Diceros bicornis minor: one gene and its partners. The protein of the gene in region 1 interacts with the protein of each later gene in a pairwise test. Links are inferred from orthologs where the notes say so. Each region holds a gene or a part of one and is shown on either strand. Other genes may lie near its edges. The genes, in order: WASL, RNF8, ARPC3 and RHOJ.

What was found.
Region 2: the proteins of WASL (region 1) and RNF8 interact in binary tests that used the Homo sapiens proteins (3 or more experiments, as listed by UniProt). The two-hybrid records come from large-scale screens. The link is inferred for Diceros bicornis minor from reciprocal best matches to the Homo sapiens genes WASL and RNF8.
Region 3: the proteins of WASL (region 1) and ARPC3 interact in binary tests that used the Homo sapiens proteins (3 or more experiments, as listed by UniProt). The two-hybrid records come from large-scale screens. The link is inferred for Diceros bicornis minor from reciprocal best matches to the Homo sapiens genes WASL and ARPC3.
Region 4: the proteins of WASL (region 1) and RHOJ interact in binary tests that used the Homo sapiens proteins (3 or more experiments, as listed by UniProt). The two-hybrid records come from large-scale screens. The link is inferred for Diceros bicornis minor from reciprocal best matches to the Homo sapiens genes WASL and RHOJ.

What each region holds. Positions count from the first base shown.
Region 1 is NC_080742.1:73,551,404-73,559,001, reverse strand, and holds the start of WASL (actin nucleation-promoting factor WASL), read left to right. Parts: upstream 1-4,577; 5' UTR 4,578-4,829; coding exon 4,830-4,946; intron 4,947-7,598. UniProt on the Homo sapiens protein: Regulates actin polymerization by stimulating the actin-nucleating activity of the Arp2/3 complex. Involved in various processes, such as mitosis and cytokinesis, via its role in the regulation of actin polymerization.
Region 2 is NC_080753.1:27,699,387-27,707,239, reverse strand, and holds the start of RNF8 (E3 ubiquitin-protein ligase RNF8), read left to right. Parts: upstream 1-4,832; 5' UTR 4,833-4,915; coding exon 4,916-5,026; intron 5,027-7,853. UniProt on the Homo sapiens protein: E3 ubiquitin-protein ligase that plays a key role in DNA damage signaling via 2 distinct roles: by mediating the 'Lys-63'-linked ubiquitination of histones H2A and H2AX and promoting the recruitment of DNA repair proteins at double-strand breaks (DSBs) sites, and by catalyzing 'Lys-48'-linked ubiquitination to remove target proteins from DNA damage sites.
Region 3 is NC_080774.1:8,970,415-8,977,453, reverse strand, and holds the start of ARPC3 (actin-related protein 2/3 complex subunit 3), read left to right. Parts: upstream 1-4,024; 5' UTR 4,025-4,116; coding exon 4,117-4,122; intron 4,123-6,308; coding exon 6,309-6,408; intron 6,409-7,039. Other genes in the region: GPN3 (GPN-loop GTPase 3), read left to right, coding at 492-620, 1,195-1,257. UniProt on the Homo sapiens protein: Component of the Arp2/3 complex, a multiprotein complex that mediates actin polymerization upon stimulation by nucleation-promoting factor (NPF).
Region 4 is NC_080763.1:12,449,255-12,456,688, forward strand, and holds the start of RHOJ (rho-related GTP-binding protein RhoJ), read left to right. Parts: upstream 1-4,424; 5' UTR 4,425-4,439; coding exon 4,440-4,617; intron 4,618-7,434.

The DNA of each region.
Region 1 (7,598 bases):
TGTTGTTGTTGTTATAACCTTTGTAGTACTATCTTATTTTTTAGATTATGTGCATGGATCACTTTTATAAAACTTTTATAAAACTAAAAATTGATTTAAAAAACGTTATATGGTAGAGGACACCATATGCTTCACCCCAATACTTTCAGTGAGGTAATGGGGACAAATGGCATCTTCAGGTTATCACAAGTATCCCGGCTGCCTACTCATCCATAATGTAAATTGACCTTGAGCACATTATAATAAAGAAGCCAATATTTTCTCCCTCTCATCTGGAATAATTAAACTGAGAGCCACTGACTATTCATTAAAGGTAAAGAGCAGTGGCGAGAAAACCAGTAAGTGGCATCCTGGGTACTGTAACATATTTAGCTCTTCAAATCATTTCTTGAATAAATGTGAATAAATACATAGATACCTATATATTAGGTATCTGGAGATGAGGCCATACAGTGGTAGTAACTATCACTGGTAATTCACTAGCGCAAATAAGAATTCAATTTTCCATTAACATCAATAAGAAATCAAAATGAATTGTAAATAAGCTATCTATTCCTAAAAAAGTAAGCCCCAAAGTGGCTTGTACTCAAAATGAATTGTAAAGGGAGAGGGAGAGAAAAATAGTTGGCTAGCTTACTTTTCAAGATCTTAGTTGATAAAAAATAAAATAGTTAACATTTAACTTCGGAAAACAAGTACTAGGACAAATTCTCTTCAACACTGCTATATGCAACATTTACACAAAAATGTGCAGGGATTTTTTTTACAACGTAAACATTTTAAACCCATGACACTTGGCGGATGCACGGGGGAAGTGACATTCATCACCCTTGCAGTATCCAGGTTTGCTGTTGGCTCTAAAATTCCGTTCTGCCATAATCAGGCATCATGTCAGTACCAGTAATTATGGCTACAATGGCTGCTGAATGCCATAGATCCCTGCGTGCAGCTCCTTCCATGCTCCCCTACAATGAAGGGGGTCACTACATTTTAAACTATTAATATTAGCATGGGAAACAGGGTGTTTCAGAGCACTTGTAACAGTACACAAACAATCATATTTATAAAGAAGAAAAGTAGATTAACAAAGAACGAGGACAGGAGAAATTTGCAAAGTACAATGATAACAGCAGGGAATGCATCTGAAAATATGCCCTCATTTCCATAATTAAGCTACTCTAACGTTTTCTGTTAAAATGAGGACTTTACCTCAAAGGATCATGGCAAAGAAAGAAGAAAATAAAAGTACTAGAATAGATTCTAATTGAGTCAAGGAAAGTCAAATGGAAGAAATTAAACTTCAGAATTGCCTTATTCTTAGTTATATTTATAGACATTTTAATACAGCATACGCATTTTATATATGTATGAAGATAAACTCCCTACAGTTTTCTTAACCTAGCTTACAAACTTCAAGATACTTAGTTGAAGGGAAATAGAATCCTTCTCATTTCCTGGATCAAATCCAGTCTCTCAAACTGGGTAAAAAGAATTTGAGATAAGAAAATAACTTGCCAAAGAAAACAGAGAGAAAGATGTCTTGTGTTCCGCCAAATAGAGGATATGCTATCAAGAATGAAAGGAAGAAAGGACTTGCTGAAACTTTTGAAACAAATACAGCCAGTACTGCCTGGTCTCAGGATGAACACAGAAAAATAGAATCCTTGTATGCATGGTAAGGGGGCATAACCCCAAATATTGCCTGTGCACATACTCCAAAGAGTAAGGAAGTCATATTTCCAATGCAATGTTCACGCTTACATTTCCCAGGTTTTAAGAACAAGGAGTTAGAAAAAGCCGAGAGAAAAGGAAAAATAACAACGGAGTAGGAAATAAGAACTTATATGGCAATTTTGTAGACAAAATGCCGTATTTAAAATTTTGAGGAAGAGTTACAGAAATGGTTTGGGCTTGAGAAAAATGTCTATGGTGGTTACAATTTTCAATCTTCATTTCCAAAGAAAAAAGAACAAGGGCAAATAGTCAGAAAATTGCACTTGGAAACAGATTAAAATATTAAAATTTTCCTGAAACAAAGAAAAAAAAAGCAATTAAAACAATAAATAGTCTAGGCCAACAAGAGGTTGTGAAATGATTGGAACTCAGTAGCTCTCAGCATGGGACAGATTCCTCATTTCATAACTACTGTCCATTCACTTATCCTCCCCTAGCTTCTTTTTTTTACAGCCCTCTTCCACATCTCTCTCTCTACCATCTTCAAAATAGTTGGGTGGACTAAAAGTTTTAAAAGCTGGCATTCTAGCATAAAAATTGCTACCTTTCAGTTTTTATTAACTAGAAACTAATATGATTCTGTCTCTAGATTTATAGTTTTGAAAGTTTTGTTATTCGGTATACTGGGACATACATAGCCAACGTGACATAATATATAGCCTAATTAGAAATTCTCCTAACAAATTATGCCCCAAATTCACCATTATATATTTAGAGAATTACATACAGTTCTAAATATGAAGGACAGTTTTCGAAGTATCAGGCTTAGAACAAAGGTAAAAATATACATCTCCACTCTTGATCCCTTAGCTAAGAGAAGGCAGAGCAGACCATAGGCAACGATGGTTAATGACGGACAAGTAATATTTGAGTAACCACTATGTATCAGGTACTTTACATATGCTATCTTGGTAAATTTTACTTTGAAGTAGGTATAATTATCTCTATTTATACTACACCTTTATTAAATACAAATTATTTTCATTTTACGCATGAGGAAACAGAGACTTGGAGAAGCAACTCCTCCAAAGCTTACGAGGTAGCGTATAAGGTTTTAAGTGGAAGAAAAAGAACTCCAATTTAGGCCTATCTGAAGCCTGTTCTTGTTACTATCCTGATTCACACGTTTGAAGATATTAGGGCTCTAACTTCTATCATTTCTCAAGAATTTGCAATGCTTTCCACTATCACTCTGGTTTTAATTTATAGGAACCTCACTTTTGATAGAAAAAACAAACTGATTTATCTTCTAGGTTTATTTTGCTAGCTCTGTAATCCAGAGGCAACTCCAAGTTTGCATTTCTACTATTGCCTTTCTAAACTCAGTTATTTTCTAAAAAAGTCCACCAGCTGTTTTTAAATCACTTTTTCCCTTAACATTATTAATCAAGTTTAATTTTGAAATATCCATAGTTTGTGTGAGGACTCCCAGGACTACATGATCTCATTTTCCTTTGTAGATTTACTCCTACTTAGCTAATTTCATCAAAGCCAGTTTTAATTTAAAATTTTTGTAATATTTTCAAAGTGCATCGATAATAGTTTATCAATCTGTTTAGTCCACCCGAGATTTGTATTGGAAGCTATCAGTGATATTAAAATCAAATCGTTTTACCAAATTTTATTTGGCATAGAATGGATGTCTTAAGTTTAATAGATGGTAACTTCTTTGTTTATTGAAACTGAATAATTAGCAAACATGGTGGTCCAGTTTATCCAATAAATGCTAATTTGTTTAAAGTGGAGAAGTCAGATGCTTATTCTATAGTTCACAGTAGTATCGTTTATCATTTCCATATTCCAAAACTTCATTTTACAACAGTTGTTTAGTATTTAACTTACTGAATAAAAGGGGTTATCTTGGGTAACGTTCAATATTCTGAGGCATACAAATTAAAAAAAAAAAACACCTGAGATTTACTTTTAAGGATTAAACCAGATAATCTATTTTCCTGTCTGACATCCCGAAATGGGCACATTCATTTTGGATAAAAAGTAAACAAGGGCTTCGGGGTTTGAGAGAAAAAGGCAAGAAAGGGAAAAAAAGGAATATTTTCCAACTCACAAGACAGAGGGAAAAAATGTGTTCAGGGCCCGTAAGAGAAAAGACGTTGAAGTCAAAGGTTACAAATACATTTACCCCATGTGACACACCAGGCGGGCGGTAGAAATCTTTTCTACGTGCGTTTGTTTTTTGTAACATCTATCAGCAAGATCTCTCTTTCACAATACTGGGAGAGGCCTGTTTGTTCCTCCACTCCCACTGCTGAAGTCTGGACAAAGTTTGAGAAACCCCAAGCACCTGCGGCTCTAACCGAAACCGGCGAGCAGCCCAGGGAGCCCGTCACTTCTCCCCAATTTTCCGTCTCCAGCTTCCAGACCTTTTTCAAATGCGGTGTGAACATCCGGGTTCCGCGCCCCAGAAATAAGAGCTATTCCGGGGAGGGGGGCCTAGGGCGGCGCTGACGCTTCGTAAAGGTGTACGTCTGCAAAAGAGGAGACGAGCATCCTCCTCTCTCCAGGCGGCAGCCGCTGGGGCCGAGTTCCCAAAAGACAAGTCAAGAGGCCGGTTCCGGCGCCCAGAACCGCAACCCCGCGTCTGATCGCGCAGCCCGCGTCTCGACCGGAAAGGGGCGGGGCCTCGGGCCGGCGCGGCGGGGCCGACCGCGGCGTGCGGGGGGGTTCCTCCCGGGGCCCGGTCTGCAGCCGCGCGTTTCCGGCGCGCTCCCCCGCGTCCTGCGTCCTGTGGTCTCGCCCGCCCCCGCTGCCATGTTGGATTGTGCGGCCGCCGCCGCCGCCGCCGCCGCCGAAGGAGGGTTGGAGGAGGAGTTGGGAGTTTAGCGCAGTCGCCGGAGTCCGAGGACAACGGCCATCCGGCCAGAGCCTAGCCGGTCGGGAGCGGGGAGCTTCTCTTTCTCGGCGCGGCCCCCGGTCGGCTGCTCCTTCTCTTGGCCGCCTTCTCCCCGCGCCGGAGGAGCTGCGAGATGCTGCGCCTCTGACTCCCCTCCTCCCGCCCTGTCACCGAGAGGGGGGACTAGCGCTCGCCCACTCGCTGGAGGAGACGGCCCTGGACGCCCAGCCCAGCCGGCGAAACCATGAGCTCCGGCCAGCAGCAGCCGCCGCCACCGCGGAGGGTCACCAACGTGGGGTCCCTGCTGCTCACCCCGCAGGAAAACGAGTCCCTCTTCACCTTCCTCGGCAAGAAATGTGTGGTCAGTGGCCGAGACCCGCGTCCCACCCCCGACGTTACCTCACGGGCCGGGCTGGCGGGCCGGGAATTGGGAGTGGGGAAGGAGGCGGGAGCGGCGCGGGGACGGTCTGGCTGCCTCTCAGGCCTCCCGCCGGCCCGCGCCCCGGCCCCGCGTCGGCGCACTGGCCTCGCTCCCCGGGTGCGAGCAGTGCGGGCCGGGGCGGCCGGACGCCGCTTCCCGGCGCTGCCCGGGAGCAGGGAAGTGTCACCTCCGCAGGCCGGCCCTGGAGCCCTGCTTGGCCAGGCCCGGGTCCGCGCCCTTGCAGCTGGTTCAAACTTTACTTTCAGGCCACACGGGGATTTTCTTCTTGCACGAGCTGCTTAGTCTTAGAAACTGGGCCCTGTAGCTTCACCTCCTGCCGCTCGATCTGGGAGTACCTTCACAATGCCAGAGGTTTCAGGAGTGTGTAGGTCGGGGAAGGAAGCCCAAATATGAATGAAGCGGAACCATAAGGTGGTTTTTAATCCGCCTTTCTGATCTCAGGAGGGCATGAAGTCGAGGGCATCGGTTCAGAACGAGGGCAGGAAATGCTACCGCTCCCCATTGCAGAGAAACAGTTTATTTCTCCAGCAGTCTCGCCCAGGCCTGGTTTCTACTCTCCTCCCCACTGATTTTTTCCTTTGCATCGGTGGGAGGTGCTGCTCTCCCCATAACCGTGCGCAGGGGAGCCGCAATCTCGAGTAGTTCTTGGCCTTTTGGGGCCCGAGAATGGTTTTTAGATTGGTGCTGTGCGGCCTGTTCCAACCCCAGATGGCCGGTTGGGAGCAAGCAGTTCTGTGGGAAGGGGAATGTGTTTTGTTGACGGAAGCATTCATTACATTGGCTGCTGGCACTTCTGGGGGTGGGGAGGTTCTGCTCGATGGTGCAGGCCTTCGTAGGCTGCATCTTAACTGCGGTGGCTGGGTGGAACTGTGGTTGAGTTTGTTGAAACGTTGTTTGGGTCCCTTTCTCCCCTCTTTGCTTGTTAGAACCTACAGAGTATGTGCCACTGGAACCCAGGAAACACCTAACGAAATGTCAACAGCGCAATACTTTTTACAACTTTTCTTAGTGTTAAATGTGTCAAGCCAGACTACACCTGCTTGTTCAAGAAGTTAGGATTAGACAATTTCTGGAGGTTATCGGATTAATTGTTAACTTGATAGGAGTCTACCCTTTGTATCCTATGCCATCCTGTTGGAGTTTGAATCATTACATTCAATTCAGATGTGTTTCAAAAGTTAGACCTACAACTTTAAAGATAATCAAGCCTCCACCCTCCTCCCTTTTTTAAACAAATGAGAAAACTGAGCCAGTGAGCCCAAAGTCACACAACAAGTTAGTAATGTAACCAGAAACTCCTGATGCCTAGTCGGTTGTGCTTTCCACTGCAGCACGTTGTTTTAGAAGGGTTTTTTTCTTGTTATGGACTTATTTCTAAAAGTGGTGTTGAAGGAGTAATCACTTCTTTTTTTGCACCAAAAACTGATATGATTAAAGTGTAAGATTCTTAAAGAAGCACTAATTTTTTCTTATTTTCCATTTAGGGTAATCTCGAGCACGTTGAATGTTATATTATCTGCAAATGAAAAAAAAAATTTTCTGGTTTATTACATTTGCTATGTAATCTGTATTAGAAATGAAGTAGTTCTATGTTTTACATACCAGATGCAATAACTTTAGGCAGGAAGGACATTACATTTACGCACAAGTATACTAACTAATTGCTCTTTGCTTACCTGTAATGGTTACTGGTTTCAAAAAATGACAGATGTGGAAGAATACTGTGATAGAGAAAGATAGTGTTGCTTACTGTTTAGCATAAGTGAATTGCTGAATAAGCTGTCAGTATTCAGTGCTCAATTTCTTTATGTCATCTATTATTAATCAACTTTACCTTTTGTATTTCTGTCATTTAAAACCACACTGTTATAGTTACCTGCTCTTGTGGTATGAAATTGTTGCAAAGATTAACTTCAATATTTGAAGTCTCCGATTATTAGAGAGTAAAGTAAGAATGATATTTTAATTTTTTGGAACAATGTTTTTTTCCCTTTGCTGACTATGCTGTTTTTTGTAGTTTAAAACAACACTGAAATACATGGTCTCATAAAAAAATCCAGCAATAAGATTTACAGGTCAGACCAAATTTGTTAAGCAAGAAGTGTAGTCAGAACCCTATCTAAGATTCCAGAAATGAGACAGGAATAGTCATAGTTAATAGTCCCAGTTCTCGAGTTTCATTCCTTCTCGCACTCAACAGATATGTATTGAGTAACTAAATGTTGAAGTTGATGCTTGCCCTCAAGGAGCTTACTGTGTCTAAAAAGGAAAACAAATGTGTAAACTGATGAAGTCGGTACTTCAGAGTGATGTCTAAAACACTGCATGTAACAATGGAAAATGTCTTGGCTTTGTAGTCAGCAGACCGGAGTTCAAACTCATGTAGTCACTTTGGACAAGTTTCTTAAGCTCCCTGTCCTAGAATTGGTTTTCTCATCTCTAAAATAGGGATACTGTCTCATGGGGTGGTTGTGTGAATTAGAAGGACTGTATGTAAATATATGGATGCTGTTATTTTTATAAAGGTTTAGGGGATCAAAAGAGAGGATGAGTAAAAGCTTTAGAGAATGG
Region 2 (7,853 bases), on another chromosome or scaffold:
TTTAATTCATTTACTTGATTTCTAAGGTTTGCCTGAGACAGCTCACTGTCCCCCAAAATTCATGCTTCCCTTTCCATAGTATAGAGTTGTTTCTGGGAACTGGCTGATCAACCAGGGACTACGTTTCCCAACATTACTTGGATCTAGGTGGGGTCGTGTGTCCAGTTCTCTCCAATAAAATGTGAGCAGAAGGAATATGTGTCACTTTTGGGACAAGACAGTTAAGAAGCAGGTGTGCCTTCTCCATTCTCTCTTTCCCTGTTTTGCTTTCTGGATGCAGAGGACCCCAAGCCCTGAAAAATAGAGAAGCCATAGGATGAAAGTAGTCCAAGTTCCTGAATGACTTAGTGGAAGGCTGTCCACCGACCAGGAACACTGCACTGAACAATTACGTGAGTAAGGAATAAACTTCTATTGTGGTAAACCACTGGAATTTGGGGTTTGTGTGTTACAGCAGCCAGCATTACTCTAATATATAAAGCACACAATCAACAACTGTCCAAGAGCTCCTCTGCCACACCCTTCCTGTTCCAGTTTTGTATTGCCGCATAACAGAACACCCCAAAACTAAGGGGCTTAACACAACCATTGTATTATTTTCACAGACTCTGTGGGTCAGGAACTCAGATGAGGCACAACAGGGATGACAATTCAGGGATCACTATTCCATGATGTCTGGGGCCTCAGCTGGAAAGACTCAAAGGCTGGGGGTGACTCATGGTCAGGGGGCTGGTATCATCTAGGGGCACCTTCATTCCCACGTCTGGCAGTTGATGCTGGATGTCAGTTGGACCTCAGTTGGAGCTGTTGGCCAGAATTCTGTATGTGGCCTCTTCCTGTGTTCTCTCCACTTCCTCACAGTGGCTGGGTTCCAAGAGCAGCCCAAAAAGGCCAGGTGGAAGCTATCACCTTTTATGGCATAGCATCACTTCTACTGGAATCACATGCCCACCTAGATGCAAGGGGAGGAAATAAAGACACCATCTCGCAACATGAGGGGTGTCAGTGTCACACTGTAAGAGCAAGTGGGATGGGCGAGCTTGCTGTAATCATCTTGGAAAATAATCTGCCACACTTCCTTTCCGTATTTCTGTCCTCCCTTTCCCTTTCTTCTTCTTGTCCTGTGCTTCCTCCTCTTCTTGTTGTTTTCCTCTCCCACTCCCTAAGCCTCTCCATTGTCAACTCTTTCTAACATTCCTCAGCTCTGTTCAGTTAACATTAATTGAGCACATGTAATGAGCCAGGTGTCAAATCCACAGATCTAGATAACACCCTACTTCCTTTTCTGCATCCTGCTCTTTCTCCTCAATTTTTCCCTCTTGAGATGGATATAAGGCAAGGTTTCTTAACCTTACTGCTATTGACATTTTGGACTGGATATTTCTTGTTGCAGGGGCTGTCTTGTGATTTGTAGCATCTCTGGCTTCTCACTAGATGCCAGCATCACCCCTGCCCCTGTCATAACAATCAAAAATGTCCCCAGACATTGCCAAATGTCCTCTGGGGGGCAAATCACCCCCAGTTGAGAACCACTGAGATGAAGGAATATAAAGGGGAGGTGGAGTTAATAAAGTCTCCATATCTTAGAAGGCAGTGTCTCCAAACTGTTTTGATCGTGCACTCAGCAACAAAACAAAGTCTAAGCATACAGCCCAATATATGCATATTTATTTATTCATATAAAGTCTATGCATATCCTCTATGTTGTTCTTTTATTTGAGTATAAAATATTCACAAAAGTGGACATTTTTAAACGAATGGAATTAAAACCTACTTAGACATCCTGATATATTCTTCCACAAGCAAATGGGTCATCTTGGGTGCTCCCTGGGGTATGGCCATTCCACCTTACAGACCACTGCTAGACTCTAATGAGTGCAGCGTTTGGGGCTCTATAGAGAGATCCAGGCTCACAGCTCTGGCTTCAGTTTCCTGCACTGCCATTTACTAGTTGAGCTTCATTCATTCATTCATTCATTCAATAAAAATGTCAGGAATACAGTGGAAATTAAGACACACCCTCAAGAAGCTCATGGTAAGGAGATTCTTGAGTAAACCACTACACATGTATGCTGGAAATGACGATTAAGTAAATGGATGGCGATAGTGGGAGCCAGGCTTCTCACTTAGGTAATGGAAAGTTACAGATAAGCAAGGGGGGAATGACTAGAATGGTCCAGGTGCCAGGTGGTAATGCATTAGAGTTGTAAGACATCAGTATGCACATGTTTAGCTTACAGATAGAGATAGACAAGTATGTATATGTATGTATACATGTGTTGTTACATACATACATACAATATATATGCATACATACATAAATATTCATAGATATATAGATATAGAGGGGTTAGTAATCACATATATATTTACTTGCTCTGTCATCTAAGAGAGCCTAGAAGCAACAACATTCCAGTGGCAACGAGCACACCTAGTACCCAGATGTTGGTTTCTAATGTTCAATAAAACACAATGATGGGAGTAATGTGGCCAAAGTAGGAGTAATTTGAGTAACAAAGTGGTTTTGGATTATAACCCAAAGTATCAAGTAAGTATCCATGAGTCCATACTGATATAAATAAATGACTCAATAAATAAATGGGGGAGAAGAGACAAATATCCTATGCAGAAGAATTTCAAATAACTTACACAGATACCCTACCCTTAAGGAAGTGGAGCATAACTCCCCACTCCTTAAGTGTGGGCTGTGCATAGTGACTTCCTTCCAAGGAGTACAGTATGGAAACGGGGGGAAAGAGTAACTTTACACTCCCTCAGCCAGGTGATCAAGATTACCATCAAGAGTGATAATTCATGTTGATAGCATGTACCCGTAATATGATATGATGAGAATGGCATTTTACCTCTGTGGTCTTCCTCCCCAAAACCTACAGTCCCAGCCTAATCATGAGAAAAACATCAGAGACATCCCAATTGAGGGCCATTCTACAAAATACCTGGCCAGTACTCCTCAAAACTACCAAGGTCATCAAAAACAAGGGAAGTCTAAGAAACTTCACAGCCAAGAAAAGCCTAAGGAGACATGCCAAGTAAATGTCAGGATGGCCTCTAGGCACACTTGCTGTTCCTGGGACAGAATGCTAAGGTGAGGTACAGGCACCCACAGACACCCATCCAAAGCTTAGGGAAGCGTCTGCATGAGTGTGCAGTTACAGCTCCCACCAATTTTCCTGACCCTCTTTGACATCACAGGCCAAAATTCCTGATCTGGCAGTGCCACGCAGATAAGACGCTCCTGGCTGGGCTTGCAACCAAGGTTAAGAAATTAGGTTCTGGGCTGGCCCGGTGGCGCAAGCGGTTAAGTGCGCGCACTCTGCTGCGGTGGCCCGGAGTTCCCCGGTTCAGATCCCGGGCGTGCACCGATGCACCGCTTGTCAAGCCATGCTGTGGCGGCGTCCCATATAAAGTAGAGGAAGATGGGCGTGGATCTTCCTCAGCAAAAAAAGAGGAGGATTGGCAGATGTTAGCTCAGGGCAGATCTTCCTCACAAAAAAAGAAAAAGAAAAGAAATTAGGTTCTGAAAACAGACCTGAATTGGCATCCTACTCCACCACTTAATTTGTTACTTTGAGAAGATTACTAAACCTCTCTGTGCCTCTTCTGATCATCCCTAAAGTAGGAATTATAATCGTAACCACTATCATCCTATTGTTTGTGAGGAGCAAATAAGATAAAGTATGTAGGGTGCTTGGCTTAGTACTTGGCACTTAGCTCTCAATAAATGTTAGCCATTTACTTTTGCACTGTGTTTGATTCATTTAGTATGTATATCTTCTTCTGACAGAATTTAAGAAAATCGTTAACCAGGTATTGGAAAATCGAAAAGCATTGAGTTATCAAAGAGGTATTCACTACAGGGAGCAGCTACCACACTGCACTGGCGAATCAAAAGGAAAGAGTTTGAGGTTTTTTTCTTTTTTGTTTTTGTTTTTTAAAATTAACAGCTTTATTGAGGGTAATTTACATACCATAAAACTCATCCACCGGAAGTGTACGTATGCTTCAGTGACTTTTTTTTTAATAATCTTATTTATTTTTTCCCCCAAAGCCCAGTAGATAGTTGTATGTCATAGCTGCACATCCTTCTAGTTGCTGTATGCGGGACACAGCCTCAGCATGGCCGGAGAAGCAGTGCGTCGGCGGGCGCCCGGGATCCAAACCCGGGGCCGCTAGCACCAGAGTGCACGCACTTAACCTCTAAGCCACAGGGCCGGCCCACTTCAGTGACTTTTTAGTAAACATACACAATTGTGCAATCATCACCACAATCCAGTTTTACAACATTTCTATCACCTCCCAAAACTCAAGCCTATTTGCATTCAAACCCAGCTCCCACACATAACCACAGGTAACTGTGCTTTCTGTTTCGATAGATTTGCCTAGTATATTTTTAAAAATTCGTTAGTAAAAGGAGCTCGTGCAAAATAGATGCTATGTAGGAGCAGACTTAGATTTAAAAATTATCACAAATTTAAAGTTGTTTAAAAGTTATAGTTTTAAATATCCTGGAAATCGTCATAAAGCAAAATTTAAAAAAAGAGAAAAAGGGAGAAGTTCTAGTTCGGGGCAGCTAGGACTGGGGTGATGGTTCTCGAGAGGGTGTGACCAGAGTTTTAGAATGCCTTGGGCGACCCCGGCCACACCTGGGGCTAGGTGCCTCCACACCTGCGCTGCCAGCCGCGGCTTCCTCTCGCGCAGGCGCAGTGACTCCGCGTGCTGGCCTGAAGCCAGCAGGGCGCGGAGCCCGAGCGAGTGTTCGCATCGATCGCGGCGAGCGCGTAGCGATTGCTTCTGTCTGTTGTTAGGTATGGCGCCCGCGAGGAAGCGTAGAGGCGGCGGGAACCTGGGTCGGGGTCTCGCTCTGTGTTGACCACGACCCAGGGCCGAGTGGGCTATGGGGGAGCCCGGTTCCTTGGTTACGGGAGACCGCGCCGGTGGCCGGAGCTGGTGTTTGCGGCGGGTGGGGATGAACGCCGAGTGGCTGCTGCTGGAGGATGGAAACGAGGTGAGGGGGAGGGGTCTTCCCGAGGCGAGGGAAGGGGGTTGGAGGAGGCAGGGGCCGGAGGGGGCCAAGGCGTCGGCGGGAGGGGTGAATGGAAAAGAGGAGGTGGGAGCGGGGAAGAGGAGAGAGACGTGAAGGGTGGGTCCTGGGGGAGAGAAGGGAGAAGGGGGTTCTGGTGTGAGCGGTTGGTGGCTCCGAGGTGGGAGGTGGGGGGAGGAGCAGGGACCGCGGAGGAGAAAAGATGGCCCCTTTGAGGGAGGCCTGGGCCCGCGGCGCGAGCAGGGCAGGGGGCCGGGCTGCGGGAAGGAGCCTGGTAGAGGGGCAGAGCGAGTTGAGGTGGGCGTAGAGGATGTGAGGACCAGCTGGGGTTTCGAGGGGAAGGAGGCGGCTGGGTTGGGGAGGGGACCGGACAGCCGTGTTTGGGTCGCTCGGAGCCCTGCGGTGTCCTCCACGGGCGGCGGACCTGTGAGGCGGAGCTGTCCCAACTTCCCGGAGAGTCGCGAACCGCCCAGGGGCCGAGGGCTGCGGAGCCGGAAGGACTGCCGAGAGCGTGAACTTATCGAGTTTGTTTTGAAAACGATTGCGAGTTTCGGGTCACGTCCCTTAAAACACTCTGACTTTGTTGTAAAAATCTCTCTTCCTTTCCAACACTTGAGGAAAATGGACGCTTTAGGGTGGCCACATTTGTCCTGTGAGTCTGGGTACTGGGTACCGCCGAGTGGTACCCCCTGGGTGGGGTCGGGAGTAGGGATTCAGAAATACAAGCGTCTCTTCTCCAGAGGCTGCTTATATTGTTTTCTAATGTAATAAATGCAAAATACTTAAAAAAAATTTTTTTTAAAGAGGAAAGGTGAGGCACCGTTCCGGTTGGAGGCCCTAGGACTGGAGTGGTGGTTCTAGAGGGGGTTATGGAAGAGGAGGCAGAAAATTAAGAGTGCAGTCAGCTTGAGCTGCTGCACTTGAGCTTGAGCACAAGCTGGATCAGGGACCAGCTTGTGGTAACTGAGAACCATTTGGGTTTTGGAAATAATTTGTATGACAGATAAAGAAGTCTTTTGATTATTATGTATGTTTAATTAGATTTATCCTGTAAACTATACAGTCTCAATTCAGTCTCCCAGGTATTTATGGAGGACTTACATTGTTTGGCGTGCTATAAGAGAGCCAAATAATAATGACTTCTGCCTTCAAAGAGTTTGTCGCTTGAATGGGGAAAGAGGATTTTATACAGTGAGGCAGTCTGAGAAGGTCCAGGCAGGCTGTACGATCAAGTGCCAAGACGTGGATTACTTAGTACTATCCTAGAGGAGGGGTTTCTCAAGTCAGAGGAGGGATTCGCGTCCAGCCTTAAATGTTGCTAGATTAGGGGGTTATAAAGGGTTACTTATATGCTGTGATTTGAAGAACACCAGGAAAACACCTCTGCCCCTAAATCTCTCTTCTATCCAGGTGTCATTGCCTAAAAGTCCACATTAGGTTTTCATTCTTTTAGCTTGAACATTGATCTTTTTCTGCACAACCCCTTCCAAAAGCATATACCTTTGGGAAGTTTAACAAGTTGAAGATACTAACACCTGAGTAATAGTAGCTATACAGGCATACCTCAGAGATATTGCCGCTTCGGTTTCAGGCCACTGCAATAAAGCGAGTCACAAACTTTTTGGTTTCCCAGTGCATATAAAAGTTATGTTTACACTATACTGTAGTCTGTTAAGTGTGAAATAGCATTATGTCTATAAAAACAACACATACCTTAATTAAAAAATACTTTGTTGCTAAAAAATGCTAACCATCATCTGAGCCTTCAGAGAATCATAATCTTTTTGCTGGGAGGGGGCTTGCTTTGATGTTAATGACTGATCAGGAGGGTGGTTGCTGAAGGTTGGAGTGGCTGTGGCAATTTTTTTTTCTTTTTGTTTTTCACTTTTAACAGCTTTTTTTTTTTTTGTGAGGAAGATCAGCCCTGAGCTAACATCCATGCTAATCCTCCTCTTTTTGCTGAGGAAGATCCGCTCTGAGCTAACATCTATTGCCAATCCTCCTCCTTTTTTTTTTTTCCCCAAAGCCCCAGTAGATAGTTGCATGTCATAGTTGCACATCCTTCTAGTTGCTGTATGTGGGATGTGGCCTCAGCGTGGCTGGAGAAGCGGTGCGTCGGTGCGCGCCTGGGATCCGAACCTGGGCCACCAGCAGCGGAGCACGCGCACTTAACTGCTAAGCCATGGGGCCAGCCCTTAACAACTTTTTATTTTGGAATAATTTCAGACTTACAGAATGGTTGCATGAAAAATACAAAGACCTCCCAATACCCTTTCTTTAGATTCCCAAAATGTGAAATTTTACCACTTTTGCTTTATCATTCTCTCTCTATATATATACATGTATGTAAATTTATTTTTTCCTGAACTATTTGAGAGTAAAATGCAGATATGATGCTCTTTTACGCCTAAATACTTTATTAGGTGTTTCCTAAAACAAAGACATTCTCTTACATAACAACAGCACAATAATAAGATCAAAAAAATAGCGTTGATACAATAATACTATCTAACCTAGAGACTTTGTTCAGATATTACCAGTTGTCTCAATAATGTCCTTAATAACGAGAGGAAGAAAATTATTTTTCTGGTTCAGGATCACCCATTGCATTTAGCTGACAAGACTCTAGTTTCTTTTTTTTCAAAATTATTTTATCGAGGTCGTAATGGTTTATAACATTGTGTAATTTCAGGTATACTTTATTATATATCAGTTTCTTTTTTTTTTTTCAAGATTATTTATTTATTTATTTTCCCCCCAAAGCCCCAGTAGATAGTTGTATGTCATAGGT
Region 3 (7,039 bases), on another chromosome or scaffold:
AAAAGCACAATCCAGTCCCATTTCCTTGCAAAGGAGAGGAGGATGGTGGTAGGCTGTGGGCTGGCTGGTCAGTAGTTTAATTTAGAAGTAGTTATTGGCAGTAGCTAATAAATTAACTGACATGTCTCTTATTCCAAGCCATTTTGAGAATTCAGAACTATCTGTGCCCTTGTAAAGTATCCAGTGGTTATTGAATACCTAGAAATTATTTCACAGATATTATATATATGTGTATTATATTTTCATAGATAAATACCTATGAAACAATGTCTAGTTATGTAATAAGTTAAAGAATGTTCTAGTAGGTCGGAGATCAGAAAAATCAAGGATGATTTGCTGTTATTCTGTCTCTATCTACCCCTCCTCCCCCTTCCCTCCCACAGAAATGTTTTTAATCAGAAGTATAAATGGTTATAAACTCAACTATAGATTGAAAATTAAATATTTTGTACAACTTCAGAATGACCCTTTCTGAAATCCCCAACTTGTAGATTGATGACTACAGCATGGTTCGATTTTTGCCTTACGATCAGTCAGATGAAGAAAGCATGAACATTGTATTACAGCATATTGATTTTGCCATTCAGTATGGAGAAGACTTAGAATTCAGAGAACCAAAGGTAATTTTTGATTATTGGCTTTCGGTAAAAATGTTTGCCAGCGCTCACTGGCCTCCTGCATAATCCCAGCAACTCTTTAAATTAATTTTTGTCTTAGTGGCAGCAGTAACCTTGGCTTTTCTGGGTGATCTCTGAAATTGACACCTGGGCTCAACAAGCAGTGTCAGTTGTACCCTACCTGTTATCAAGGCAATATTATTGAGTTTTCTTTGTCCTCACAGCTCGGGGGTGTGTGCAAAGAGGAAGTGAAATCCAGTTGAACTTGGGCTGCCTTCACATATGTCAGTGGAAAGACCAGGGATAGTTGTCAGTAGGGCGCTGTCACAGCAGATTAGCTGAGAATTGGCGTGAGTGTAAGCTCGAGTAAGATACGCTTCTAATGAGATGTAGCGCTTGAGTTTACCACATATCTGGAAAAATACTGTCAGTCATGCCTTTTGTCACTATAGACGACACGTGGAACTGCTGCTGGGCGTTAGCTCCTGGTAGAGCATGACCTGGAAAATGTCAGCACACACTTGGTCTAACTGAGGGGAAATGATATATTTTCTATTTTGTGTTTCCTTTGTGTCAGGAACATGAAGATGAGTCTTCTTCTATGTTTGATGAATATTTTCAAGAACACCAGAATGAATGAAGAGTTTATTAAAAGTGACTATATATATATGAAGAGCTTGTGACTGAACCAGCAGAATATTCTTGTCTTCAAAGGATGCAATACTAGAAAGCTGCTTATTTTAATGAAAAAAATAATACTTGGCTTTTTATCAGCAGCATGCCTGAATCAAGTTCTGAGTTATTCTGAAACTGCTGCTGTTTAACAGCAGCAATTTAGATTTTAAAAGTCGAAATTGAAATGAATGCACATAGATTTGTATATAATATAAATTAGTCCCTGTGGTACAGTTAAGACCACTCTACCTTTATTTTTATCATTTGTTATTTTTGAAGGTTTTTTGGAGGGGCAGAAGTTATTGTAACAAATATACATATGTGTGTCCAAAGGAAAAAATCCAGAAGAATATAGATAAGATCATTGCTTATCTGTATCTTCCAGTTTCCTACATTGAAAATGTATTATTTGTATAATTAAGAACTGAAAAGTAACTATGTTTTAAGATATAAATGTATATAAATAAAAGAAATAGAAAGATAGCACTAACTTTTCATTACACTCTTGTTTTCCAGTCAGAATTTAAAATACTCAGCCAGGACAAATTTTTGAATGAGTCAATTTCCCCAAGCGTCAAAATGTAGGCAGTGATTTCTTTTAAAATGTTTGTAGTCTCTGAGCATTTAAACATTTATACTTTCCTTGAATAATAACAGATGCACACAAAAATATAAAAGACGTAATTTTTTCTTTTTAACTTCCTGCACATTGAATTGTTTATTTTCGGTATTTCTGAGTTCATTTGGGTTGGGTGGAAAGCATGAGGAATGACTGGTCAATCAACAGGTATTTCTCTGGCACCCACTGTAGGCCAGGCCCTACTAAAGCAAAGCGGAATCTCATTTATCGAGTTCTGCCAGGCATTGTGCTAAGAAGTGTTTTACATAATCTGGTTCATTTAATCCTCATAGCAGGCCCAGGCTCCATTACTCATTTGGCACTGGATCTTCCAGCTGATACAAATTAATCCCTTATAGAAAAGCTGCAACTCAGGTTAAATTTTTAATCATTCTTGGGCCTAGATAGCAGAAGTACACCTGCAGTGTCACATTGGATCCATTTTAATCAAAGGCAAAATTGTGAGGAGTCAGCCATCAGGGGTAAGTTGTGCCTGGAGCCCAGGCTCGGGGCAAGAGTCAGGTATTTGCACCAGGGTGCCTTAATGTGAGTCTTCTCACAGGGGCAATCGGGAGCACGTGATGAGTGGGCAACCTGGGGATGTGCTGTCCTGCCTGGGGACTTTTCCTGTGGCCTTTAGTGTGTAGAAAGTGTGAAAACACCCTGAGCTCCTCATGTTGCTACTTTTTAGAAATTTTATTGTCACATGAGAGGGGAAGAAAGAAAAGGCAACTTTTCATTCACCCTCCTCATTGCTCCTGGAGCTGTACCTCCCTGGTTTAGCTTCTGGAGAGTCTGGTTTGTCCCTCTGGGCAAGAAGTGAAAGGCCAAATTCCATTTCCTTCCCCTCTGAACACTGGGGTTTCAGAATGAATATGACAGTTCCAATCTTCAAGGATTTCCCTGTCTTGTAGGAGAACCTGACGTGATTCTTCAGACAAATTTACTGGTGGGAACCAGGCACTGAGGATAAAATAGGAGCACTCAGAGCAGCAAGGCCCCTCTCATGGAGCTGAGGTGCTGGGCTCTTGAGACTAACCACAAACAAGGAAACCTGATAAGGAATGGGAAGAACAGAAAACAGTAATGAACTGGGGAGTGACTAAGGGATTACTTTGGGCTTGTTGTCAAAGAAGCCTCCTAAAAGGTACTATTTGGCCAGAGCCCTAAATGAGAAATCAGTTGTGGGAACATGGGGCAAAATATTCCAGTCTGAGGGACTGGCAGAAGAAATGGCCCGAAGCAGCAATGAACTTGGCTTGTAACATGAGGTGATTTCTAGTAACCTCTCTGTGCCTCAGTGGGGCCGTGCGCTTAAAAACGCCTGAGCTTTCAGTATCTTCCAGGCATTTAAGTTCTAAGCACTTTACATGCAATTCGTTTCATCATCACAAAACTGAGGTAAGTACTGTTATCTCCATTCTCAGGTAAGGAAACTGAGGCACAGAGAGGTTAATTAACTTGCCCCAAATTACACAGCTAGCAAGTATTAGAGCTGAGATTCAAACCCAGAGTCCACTTGCTCAACCATTACAGTACTGCCCCATTGCAAAGAATTGCAGTGCGGAGTAACGCACAAACCCCTTCTTCCCTGTGCTCGTTTCCCCGTTGTTAAAACCAATGGGTTGGGTTCGTTCACTCACTCAATAAGTGTTTATTGGTGCTTACTATGTACCATCACTGTTACAGGCGCGGGAGATACAGCAGTGAACAAAACGGACAAAATCCCTGCCTTTTTTACGCTCATATGGATGGGGAGACGGAGACAAACACCAAAAGTAAACTAGATAATAAAAGAACCATAAGAACTAAGGGAAAGAAGGGTGAGGCAAGGGGGTGGAGTGGGGTTGAATTTAAAATAGTGTGACGCAGGGAATGCTTCACTGAAAAGCTGATCTTTGAAGAAAACAAACGAGGTGATTAATCACTGGGATTCTGTAACTCCCAAACCCATCCCCACTGCGCACACGCCTCACGCATGCGCGACACGCGGTCCCTGCCTAGTGCTCGGGCGCCCCCTGGCGCCCCTCCGGATCCGCGCAGCCGCAGCAGCCAGCGGCGCGACAGCAAGCCCGGAAGCGCCGCGTCCTCCCCTCGCCCTCCCCTTCCGGCTCACTTCCGCCTACCCCGCCCGGGCCGCCAGACCGGAAGCGCCGCGCTCTAACCTGTCTTCCTTGTCTGGCTTGAAACCCGGGCGCCGCCGAGATGCCGGTAAGGGGGCCGGTCGGGGTGTGGGGAGGCGGCGAGAACTGGGGAGAGCGGCGAGGAATGGTGCGTGCGCTGAGACAAGCGGGCCGAGGAGGGCGGCGGGGAAGCAGGGGCCTGAGGAGGAGAGAGCGAGGGCAGGGGCCGGTCCCTTGGAGTTGGGGCGCCCGGGGCGTCGGCCGTGGGGGCGGGGGCGCGGCAGAGAGGGCCAGAGACCAGGGGCGTGCGGAGGAGGCTGCCCCGGTCCTTTGCACCCCCTTCTCCCCAGTCCCGATCCCTTCTCTCCCCCTTTCTGCACCCCGACTCCGGCAGGGTCCCCAAAGCCTCACTAGCGCCGCGAAGCCAAGGGCTGCGCTTTTATTTTTCATTTTTCAAGTCCGGGGTCCGGCTTCTCCTTTTCGCCTGCAGGCCCACTTCCTCCTCCGCCCCAGGGGGCGGGTCCCTCCCGCTGCCTGTCGTCTGCCAGACCCCGCTTCCCCGGCTCCTCCCCTGTCGCCCCGGCAGTGGCGGCCACCCCTGAGCTGCTGGGTTTAGGGCCCCAGAGCAGACTCGGGTCCGCGCCTGGTTTCCAGATGTTTCTGTTTTCTTGTGCATCGGGAGTAAAATTGATGGTGGTCTGATTGCTCTTAATTTCTGACAGCCAGCCTCTGGGGTAGATTTATCACCGTCATGGTCTCCATTTTGCAGATTAGGAAGAAGCTTCAAAAACGTGACTATTCATACAACAAACATTACTGAGCACCTGCTGCATACCAAGCACTGTTACAGCAGAGCATAAGGCCAACAAATAGCTCCTCTGAAGGAGTTTACATTCTAATGAGGGGACAGACAATAAACACGTAAACGTAAAGAAAATGAAGGAGATGGTTTCAGACAGTGACAAATGCTATGAAGGAAATACCAGATGGGTAACAAGACAGCAGCTGCTGAAGGGGAGGGTGGCGGCTGCTTTAGGTGAAGCAGACCTGTGATGAAAAGGAGCAAGCCATAGTTACAAATGTGTATTTTATGAATCCCATAGCTACCATTTGACTCCTGATGTGTGCCAGGCAGGCCCTGAGCTGCACACTTCATATAAATTATCCCATTTAATCCTCACAGTAACCCTAGGAAGTAGATATGTTGTTGTTTTCTCATTTTGCAGAGGAGGAAACTGAGGTTCAGAGAAGTTAAGTAACGTGCCTGAGGTTGCGCCCAAAACGGGTTATAAGCCGGGGACTCTAAAGCCCGGTGCTTATTCCAGTTGCATGTAGAGCACCCTGGACTTCCCTTGTGATTGCTTATTTAATATTTGTCTTTTTCATGAGCCTGAAAGTTCTTCAAGAGTGGAAACCATACTGGTCTTGCATCCCATTATATCATGGTGCCTTGGATGTAGAAGGTGCTTAGTAATCGTTTGGTGAATGAATAAATATATGAATGGGGCCCATGTTGCCTTACAAAAAGCCAGACATTGTGTAAAAAGCGGAACTACGAATCAGCCTACAAATTGCTCTCGTTAATGTGATTTTTTTTCTCCTTCTTTAACTCACACCTGCTCTCTGAAGGCAGTATCTGTCTCTTCATTTTACAAATTTAGAAACAGGCTGAGAAGAAAAGTGATGTCTTGGTCAAAGACCAAGCCAGGAAGTGGCAGACCTGAAAAGCCACTGCTTGGGTTCTGGCTTAATAGCAGCTAGGGCGTGGGTACCCCTGATTAATATAGTGTTTGCCTACTTCTGTAGTGTAGATACTCCCACCAGGTACCAATGTGATGTTACTGAACATAGAACGGGAAGAGATGCCCAGTCACATCCCATTATATAGTATTTCCACCATAAAGATACAAAGACATAAATAACCTTAAGATCATAGACAATAGTGAAACAACTTTTAAAAATAACAAGTAGTGAATTTTGAGTATTCATTACCTTTGTTTTTAATACTATTTTTTAACTGCAAATTTATATAATTTAATTTTTAATAATGGCTGTGTTCAACAACCAACTTGGCTCAAAATTTCTCAAAATTTAGCAGTCAGTTTTCATGAGCCAGTAAGAGCCAGCTCCAGCACGTCGATGCCACTATCCCTCTGCCCCCTCCCCTGGTTAATCTTGGGTGGGTTGCTCTTTTTTTCCTTTGAGGAAATGTTCTTGTCTGCTCTGCTGACGTTGCTCTCTGCTTCTCTGTTCTTACCTGGCTTGCCACCACAGGCTTACCACTCTTCTCTCATGGACCCCGACACCAAACTCATTGGAAACATGGCCCTGTTGCCCATCAGAAGTCAGTTCAAAGGACCTGCCCCTAGAGAGAGTAAGTTGAAACCCCTTTCCATTATTTTCAGATTTTGGTATGAAACATCTAGCAATGCTCTGATATTACCCAATTGGGGAAGTCCTGTGCCTCAGATTGCTCTTGTGTTTTCTTTTTTTTTTTTTTTTTGTGAGGAAGATCAGCCCTGAGCTAATATCCATGCCAATCCACCTCTTTTTCTTTCTTTCTTTCTTCTTTTTTTTTTTTTTTTTTTGCTGAGGAAGACTCACCCTGAGCTAACATCCGTAGCAATCTTCCTCCACTTTATATGGGACATCGCCACAGCATGGCCTCACAAGCGGTGCCTCGGTGCGTGCCTGGGATCCAAACCCGGGCTGCCAGCAGCGGAGCTCGAGCACTTAACCACTAAGCCACGGGGCTGGACCCGCTCTTGTGTTTTCTATTTGCTTGGTGGATATTGCTTTCTAGACCTTTCAAGATCATGGGTATATGTTGCATTTAGTAGGAAACTGTATTATTGCTGCTCATTTCTCCAGGGTATTCTATCGAGGGGGAAAAAAATGCTTCAGTCGTGACACTGTTCCTATCATCTGTGAGTTCTTTCAAACTAATCTAACACTGCTACATCTGTAAAATGCCGTGTCCCTGTCCTTTCTCTGTCATCAAAATG
Region 4 (7,434 bases), on another chromosome or scaffold:
TACTCCGTTGCCTTGATGGAGAAACAACCCAGCACCATCTCAACCTCAAATTTCTCCACCTTCCAAAACTTACCACTCCAATTCCGAAGATCAGGAATCAATGGGAAATTTCCTTCTAAACTATTCCCTATCTCCTGATTTTCTGGATTACGTGAACTTGAAAACTCCCTAACCTCTGGGTTTCTATGGAGGGAGACCAAAAAAAAAAAAAAAAATAGTCAGATCACCCACAGGACTCTCTTGCTCTGGGACAAGGCTTTGTACTCAGAGTTAAGGTACACAATAGTGAAACACAGAAGAAACACATGCATACACCTTTACCATTACTGGCCAAATCAGCCTCTTCTTAGGACAGAAAGAAGTCCCCATCTACCTGACTTTTGCAAGTAACCTACTTCTATCAGAATTAAGAGATTTGGCAAAGAAAGAAAAGCCCTCCGAGCAAGAAAAAAAAAGCTGTTCTAGAAGTATACAAAGATCATATCCAAGAAAATGTGGCAGATATATGATTATGATATGGTATGATATGGTATATGATAACATGGGCAATAGCCAGAGGCTGAGTACAGGTGGCCCCTGACAGATAAAAAATGCAGATACATGATGGCAATGACCCACCCACCTTAAGGAGGGGCAGTTCCAGTCCAGACCAGTCCTAGGACAACCCGTTAAGTTTTAGCAGTGCCCCAACTGATCTTGAGGTTTAGGCCCAGTGGGCGATTTGGGTCAGAGCCTCTAGAACTACGCAGCATCTCCTGCCTCACACCATACCCACCACCACCGGAGGCCTGACATCCATATGAGCCCTAGAGAGGACTTTCTCTGGAACGGGGTGACTCGTGACTAGGCTGGGCATCCCAGAATCATAGCAACCACAGCACATCCCACATTCAAAGACTGGAGTCAAAACAGTCTTTTCCACAAAGGCTAACCCAAAATCAGAGTGTCTGGTCCAATTGCATTATTTTCCCATGTAACTTCTACTTTCGAGCACAAAAGAAGGAAAAAAAGAGAAGAAAAGTCTGGGCTTTTGTATTAAAGTCATACTAGAACTGGAAGTAATCAGAGGAGTCAGAATTTTATGCAAAAATTCTTTGTTGGCATTTGGGAAAATTCATATGAAGCCAAAGCTCAGAGGACAAGAGGGAGCCAAGGAATTAAGATCTCTTGGAAAAAGCAGGAAATATCGCCCAAAACGATTTCACCATGTACTGGTAAGTTTGTGTAAACTTGGTGCTTGAGGTAAACCAAATAATTAATGGCTATGAAACCACCACTCAATCATCCACATGGCCAGAGATCCAAAAGTACAGGCATCTGGTAAAGAATATTTTAGCAAACGGTCTTCATACCACTTCTAAATTCATACCTATAAACTTTGGAATTAAAGTGTATTCTTGACCATTGTGCCTGGGCACAATTCTGTGGACTCACGGACCTATAAGATCAATGCTGAATTGTCTTTACTTTTCTTTTTTTTAAGATTCTGTTACTCTGTGTCAGGTGAAACTTTTAATATTTAGAAAGATTTATTCTCGTATGGACAAGGCCATCCATATAATCAGCAGGCTACTAAATTTTAACTTTTTTTTGCCATTTTCACTAGGATGTCTCAAATAATTTTCCCTATAAATATTCGATTGTGGGGGTGGTAAACAGTGATGAAGCAAGTTTATTTCGAGAAATATAGCCAACATTCTCAATGGCCATGACCCATCTTTGCATGTAATCCAGTCTGGCAGATGTGCCAATCCTTTGAGTTAGAGGGAAAGGACCCATGACTGGCTGCTTCCAGTCTCCCAAACGTCTCCATTTGCAGTTCACATAGCAATCGTCATGGATGTAAATATCTGGGTCTGATGGAGCAAAGTTTAGGTTACACACAGATGTAGCAAAATTTCACCTGATCCAATTTCTCAATTTTTTCCTAGGTCAAGTGCTCTGTAGGCTGGGGTGTATTTGTGATGTAGGAGTACCCGCTGAGCAGCCACGTTTGAGGACTCCATATTTGAATGGAGTATTTACTCCATGCCACATTTACTGCCTGACCTCAGGGACAAGGCCAAAGTCAGAACTCCCTCAAAGTTCTGCCAAACACATATCAACACGTGCTGAAAGTGGTCTTGTGCATCTTCAAGATGCACTTCTTCACACTGCCAATCACTCCTTCACCTGCTGCCACCTTCACACTCAAGAATTTTTTCTAGAAGAAAACGTGTTTTCAAGTTGCAATTTTATCATCACATATTCCAGATGTTTCAAATAGACTAAATGAATATAAAATTACGTAAATCACGTGCAGTCACAGGTGCCTTCAAATAGTTCAGAATGGCAATAAACACAAACAATTCCATTTCGTATTGCTAACTTAACCTCAACTGAACTCTCTCAGTCATTTAGGCTAGTCAACAATATTGGTTCTCTCCTTCCTGGTACCAGGAAGGATGAAAAGTGGCAGGATTATAATTCTGACTCTGTTGAACCCAGCAGGGACATGTGACCTGCTTTGGCCAATGAATGTGAGCAGAAGTGTCACCTCTGGGGGAAGCTTTAAGAGCCAATACCACTTCACCACATTAATTTCTTCCTCTGCCATGGTGATCATCAATATTCTCCATGTGGCTGCTCTACCGGCCAAGATCCTTGAGTGAAGATGACAAAAATACACAAAATAGATACAATATGAGCAAGAAATACACCTGTTACTTTAAACCTTTGAGCTTTGGGAGTTGTTTGTTACAGCAACATAACCTAGTAGATATACCACAACCTGACTGAAACACCATCCCTTTACAGGAAAGAAATCTCAGGACGCTAAGCACAATGGCAAATGTTAGTATAATCCAAAACAGAAGAAATCTGGGGATATATCTATTATACAGTAGCATATAGATGTGTATATATATAATTGATACCACCTATTGAAACACTTCTCTCCCACTGCCTCCATAAAAAAAAGACCTCCTCAAATCAATTGGGTAATCTGAGTTCTTAAAAATAAGTGGTCAAAAATCTCAAAGAAACAGAACTCCCCCATCAAAAAAGTACTTGACCCATTTGTCAAAATCATTTGCAGAGTACCACTTCTTTTCTAAGACCAAGTACATTAATCAAACGCAGAGCTTCAAAGGGGCTTCATTTTGAGCGACCCAACAGACAAATAAATTAGCTGCCAAGTGCTCCTTTGTAATTGAAGAGGGCCAGGCTGACCCAAGGGGAGAGGACTAAATCAAAAAGAGAACGATCCATGCAAAAGCAGCATTTAGGGACCTGAAACAAACCAATAAAGCTGTCCCACACACTCTCATTTCCAAGAGTGTGAGCCAAGCACATGTGTGTTTATTCACTAATAAGAAGATGCAAACATCCCACATCTGATTGATTTCTTATGTGCTACAACCATAAAAATGTTTGTGTCTGGAATACACGTTTGCACGTTGTGCTCAAATGCGGCAGCTTATAAACGTGATCACACATATTATACCTATGACCCACAAAAATGTTTCCCTTCGGAACAATGTAACTCTCGAAAGTTCTCTTCTTTATTGCAGGGATGACTTGCTTAAGGTTTCTCATTCAAGTGTGTGAAGAACTGTCCATTTTTAATTTACAGAGCTTTTAACTGGTGACTCAGTGAGGGATGATGTCATCTGTTATCCTACAACGGCTGGTGTGGTTCTCTCTGTTCACTTAAACCGTTCCCTCTGTTTCTGTGGCAGACAGTCCTCCCCAGTTTCCATCCTTTCGTCAGCTTCTTCCCAGCCAGCCACAGGCAAACAGCCTCCCCAGCAGTGGATGAAACAGGAAGTCTGACAGCTTGAGCCTGCAGCGGGACCCCTAGTGTTTTCCCACTCCATGTCCTGGCAGCGTTCCCCCGAAGTACAAACACACACACAGAGCTCCTATTGTTGAGCCTTCCCCAGCCCACTGATCCTAATATGGAATGCAGCAGGAAACCCATGATTTCCTGACACTCGGCAAGCTGGAGGAAGCGAGGGCAAAACTCCATTAAAAAGCCCAGCCTTCCTCCATGTTAGATGTGAAGTGGAAAATGGGGAAGATTTAGCAAAATTCCACTGTGTCTTCCGCCAGGCTGGAGAGGGAGGAGAGCAGAGTGAAACCCTCAGGCTGCTGAAATTTCCAGACTGCCAGGAAGCCCCGAGAATTTGGTGAAAATGAGGGTTTCTTAACTCAAACTGATAGGGAAAAGGAACAGACCCTTTGAATAACTCTCCCAAGTGTGTGTTCCCTTTCTTTACCAGTATGGTAAGCAAGAGGGCATACGCCAGCCGCCTCAGACAAGTCTGTGTGAGCCAAGGTCCTCAACGGAGGGCAGAGCGATCTTAAGCCTGCCACTCGCTTCCCGCCACTCCATGGGCTTCGGGAGGAGCAGGGGAAGCAACAGCAGCAGCACAGGCGCAGCAGCTGGAGCCTCGAGAATGAACTGCAAGGAGGGGGACGGCAGCAGCTGTGGCTGCGGGGGCCCCGAGGAGAAGACGATGCTGAAGTGCGTGGTGGTGGGCGACGGCGCCGTGGGGAAGACCTGCCTGCTGATGAGCTACGCCAACGACGCCTTCCCGGAGGAGTATGTGCCCACCGTGTTTGACCACTACGCAGGTAAGAAAAGGTGGGAACCTGCCCCTGCAGACGGGGTGAAGCACGCGGGAGGCAACAGCCCAACCTCAGAGGGGCCTGGCTTCTTGCTAACGTCAGTACTGGGTGCAGGCCCGGCGGCAGCCAGGTGGCTGAGCGTCACACACGACCAAGCACTTTGCCAGAAGTGTTAGCAGTTCTGGACGTCAATTTGTATTGTAACGCTTTCTTTTCCCCTTAAATCAGGGAGTGACGCTGGGGAAATACCCTGAACTGCCCTCTAGGCTTTGGGGCCAGAGATTTTACTCAACATTTGCCTGAAGATTCATCAACTTTTTATTGTGAACATTTTAAAATGTAGTGTAATTGCATCACAACTCTTTTTTACCAAAAAAAAAAAAAAAATCACCACTAACCACATAAACAGTGAAAGGAGTGTTCTTGCCACTTTTCATGTATTCGTCTCATGCCATTCATAAATGCAAATGCTGAGATTAACAAACACTAGAACACTCATTTTTCTATAACAATTGGTGCTGTGTTACTATTCTTTCATTTTCCTGGAGCTGTAGATGGAGGGAAAAGCATTCAATATCTGTTAAGCAATCTATATCTTGAATTAAAAGAAACGTCTTAAATTGATATGTCTTTAAAAGTAAAAATAAAGACAAAAATAAAATTTGAATCATTTTAAAGTATGTCCCAAAATGACAAAGTTGGGCAGAAAATATTTTAAAGCATGAAAGTTAAGATACTGTCGTCACAACTTAATTCTTTCAGTGATTTTTTTTTGGGGGGTTCTAAAGCTTGTAGGTGTGCTTGTCAGTGTGATCGCTTATCTAAATTTTTCCATTTGACTCTCAGTTTTTTTCTTAATTTCCAAAACAAATATCATTAAGTTTGTCAAAAGCAAGTTCATGAAATTCTTCAAGTTTACAGTTGCCTGTATTTTATAACTCTTTTGAACATAGTGATCAGCTTGGTGAATTATCAGAGATTTGAGATTTTGTAAGAGGAAAATTTCTCCCCTTTCACCATGGCCTTGGGTCAGGTTCAGCAGAGGGGAAACAGCCCACAGGAAACCTGTGTGAGTGTTGGCTTTGCTATGTGGCCACAGAAGATCCTCTTTCTGTAGGAAGTAGCTTCTTTTCCAGAACTAAACAGTCACCTAAGTCCCCTCCTCCTCCTCCATTTACACGATTTATGACAATATTACACCACAGACAGGGAGAGAACCACAGTGAAAATAGTATCCATTTCCCAGCACATTTTTCTATATTTGCAGAAATTAAGAGCAAATTTGAATGCTGGCTGCCTTAAGCTTTTCTGAAAATATAATGACTACCCCCAGAGAAGAACATTTTAATGAGAACAGAATAAAGAGAAGAACAGGTAGACTTTCACTTGAGGAAAAAAACTTATTATAAAATTAGGAGGTCTGCAATTTAAAAAAGTTACTGGGATACTAGACATGTAAACATCTTAGCAAAGGTTATCTGTTCTATACCCTCTTTCTGCCAGGAAAGGGAAACGGGCTGGGACCTAATTTCAAAAACTTTTAGATCAAAGGTAGAACCCAAAATCTACTAAAGGGAGAAATTGCAAGTGTTTTGAAAATTATGTATCCCATCCCTATCTATTGGGTGAACCAATTACAGAGTAGCGTCAGGAAGAAAGAGGGCAAAACCATCTTTGGAGATAAAGATAGCCTATTGAAAAAACACATTAGAGACCAAACAAAGACTGAGCCACCACTAGATTCCACTAGGATCAAATTGTTTTATATTTCACTTGTGTATATACTTACTGTTATTTGAGCATCAAAGCATCTTAAAGATTTTGGCTACTCTATGATTTTAGCTCTCAAGAAATCACAGCTACTGAATCCAAAGCAATACTTTGCACATAGTAGGCCTTCCCAAACATTGTTGCTTTGTTTTACACTTTGTACTTTTCTAAGTACACAATCATCTCATGTGGTTTCAGTCAGGTTGTAAACGAAATGAAGACACGAGCCACATCCGACATTTCTGTTAGCGGAGGGATCTTCGCCAGCTCCCTCTACCACCACCCTCCTATATGAGCTGACTGAACCTAAATCCTTACACAGTCACAAGAGAATCTACAATCAATTGTAAAAGAACTAACGCTCTCTTCTTCACATGGAGAAGTATCCAGTATCCAGTCACCGGGTCCTACCAGCTCATTCTGAAGTGACAACCTGCAACTGGTTTACTGAGTCATTAGAACATTGCAGTTCAAGTCAAAGAGATCCTATCCCTTGAAAAAATATTTTTCCCTAATAGCTGCCCATCCCAGGAAGGTAGGGACATAATAGTAAGGATGGAAGTACAGCGTAGTGCTCAAGATGGTGAGCTCTGAAGCCAATGGGCCTGGTTCTAATACTGGCTCTGCTGTTGCTGTGTAGCCTTGAGCAAGTTACTTAACCTCTCTGTGCCTCAGCTATCACAAATGAAAAAAGGGACAATAGAGGTATTAGGATTGTTTGTGAGAACAAAATAAATTAATACATGTAGCTCTTAGATCAGTGCCTTACACGTGATAAGTGTTAGGTGCATGGTAGCTATTATTATTAAGAACAAGGTCTCTACACTTGCACACAGCTATGAAAGGGAATTAAAATATAATGAAAAGATAAAGAATACAACAAGGAAAAATATAATTCCAAGAGTATCCTCCAAATGGAGTAGGGTGTGATGGAGTGTATGTCTTGTCCTTATAATATAGTTACCAAATGTACTGATAATTGATAAATATGGTGTATTAGTAATTGCTAAATACGTCCACATAGAGTAATAGTAGTGGGACATTCACTTGGAA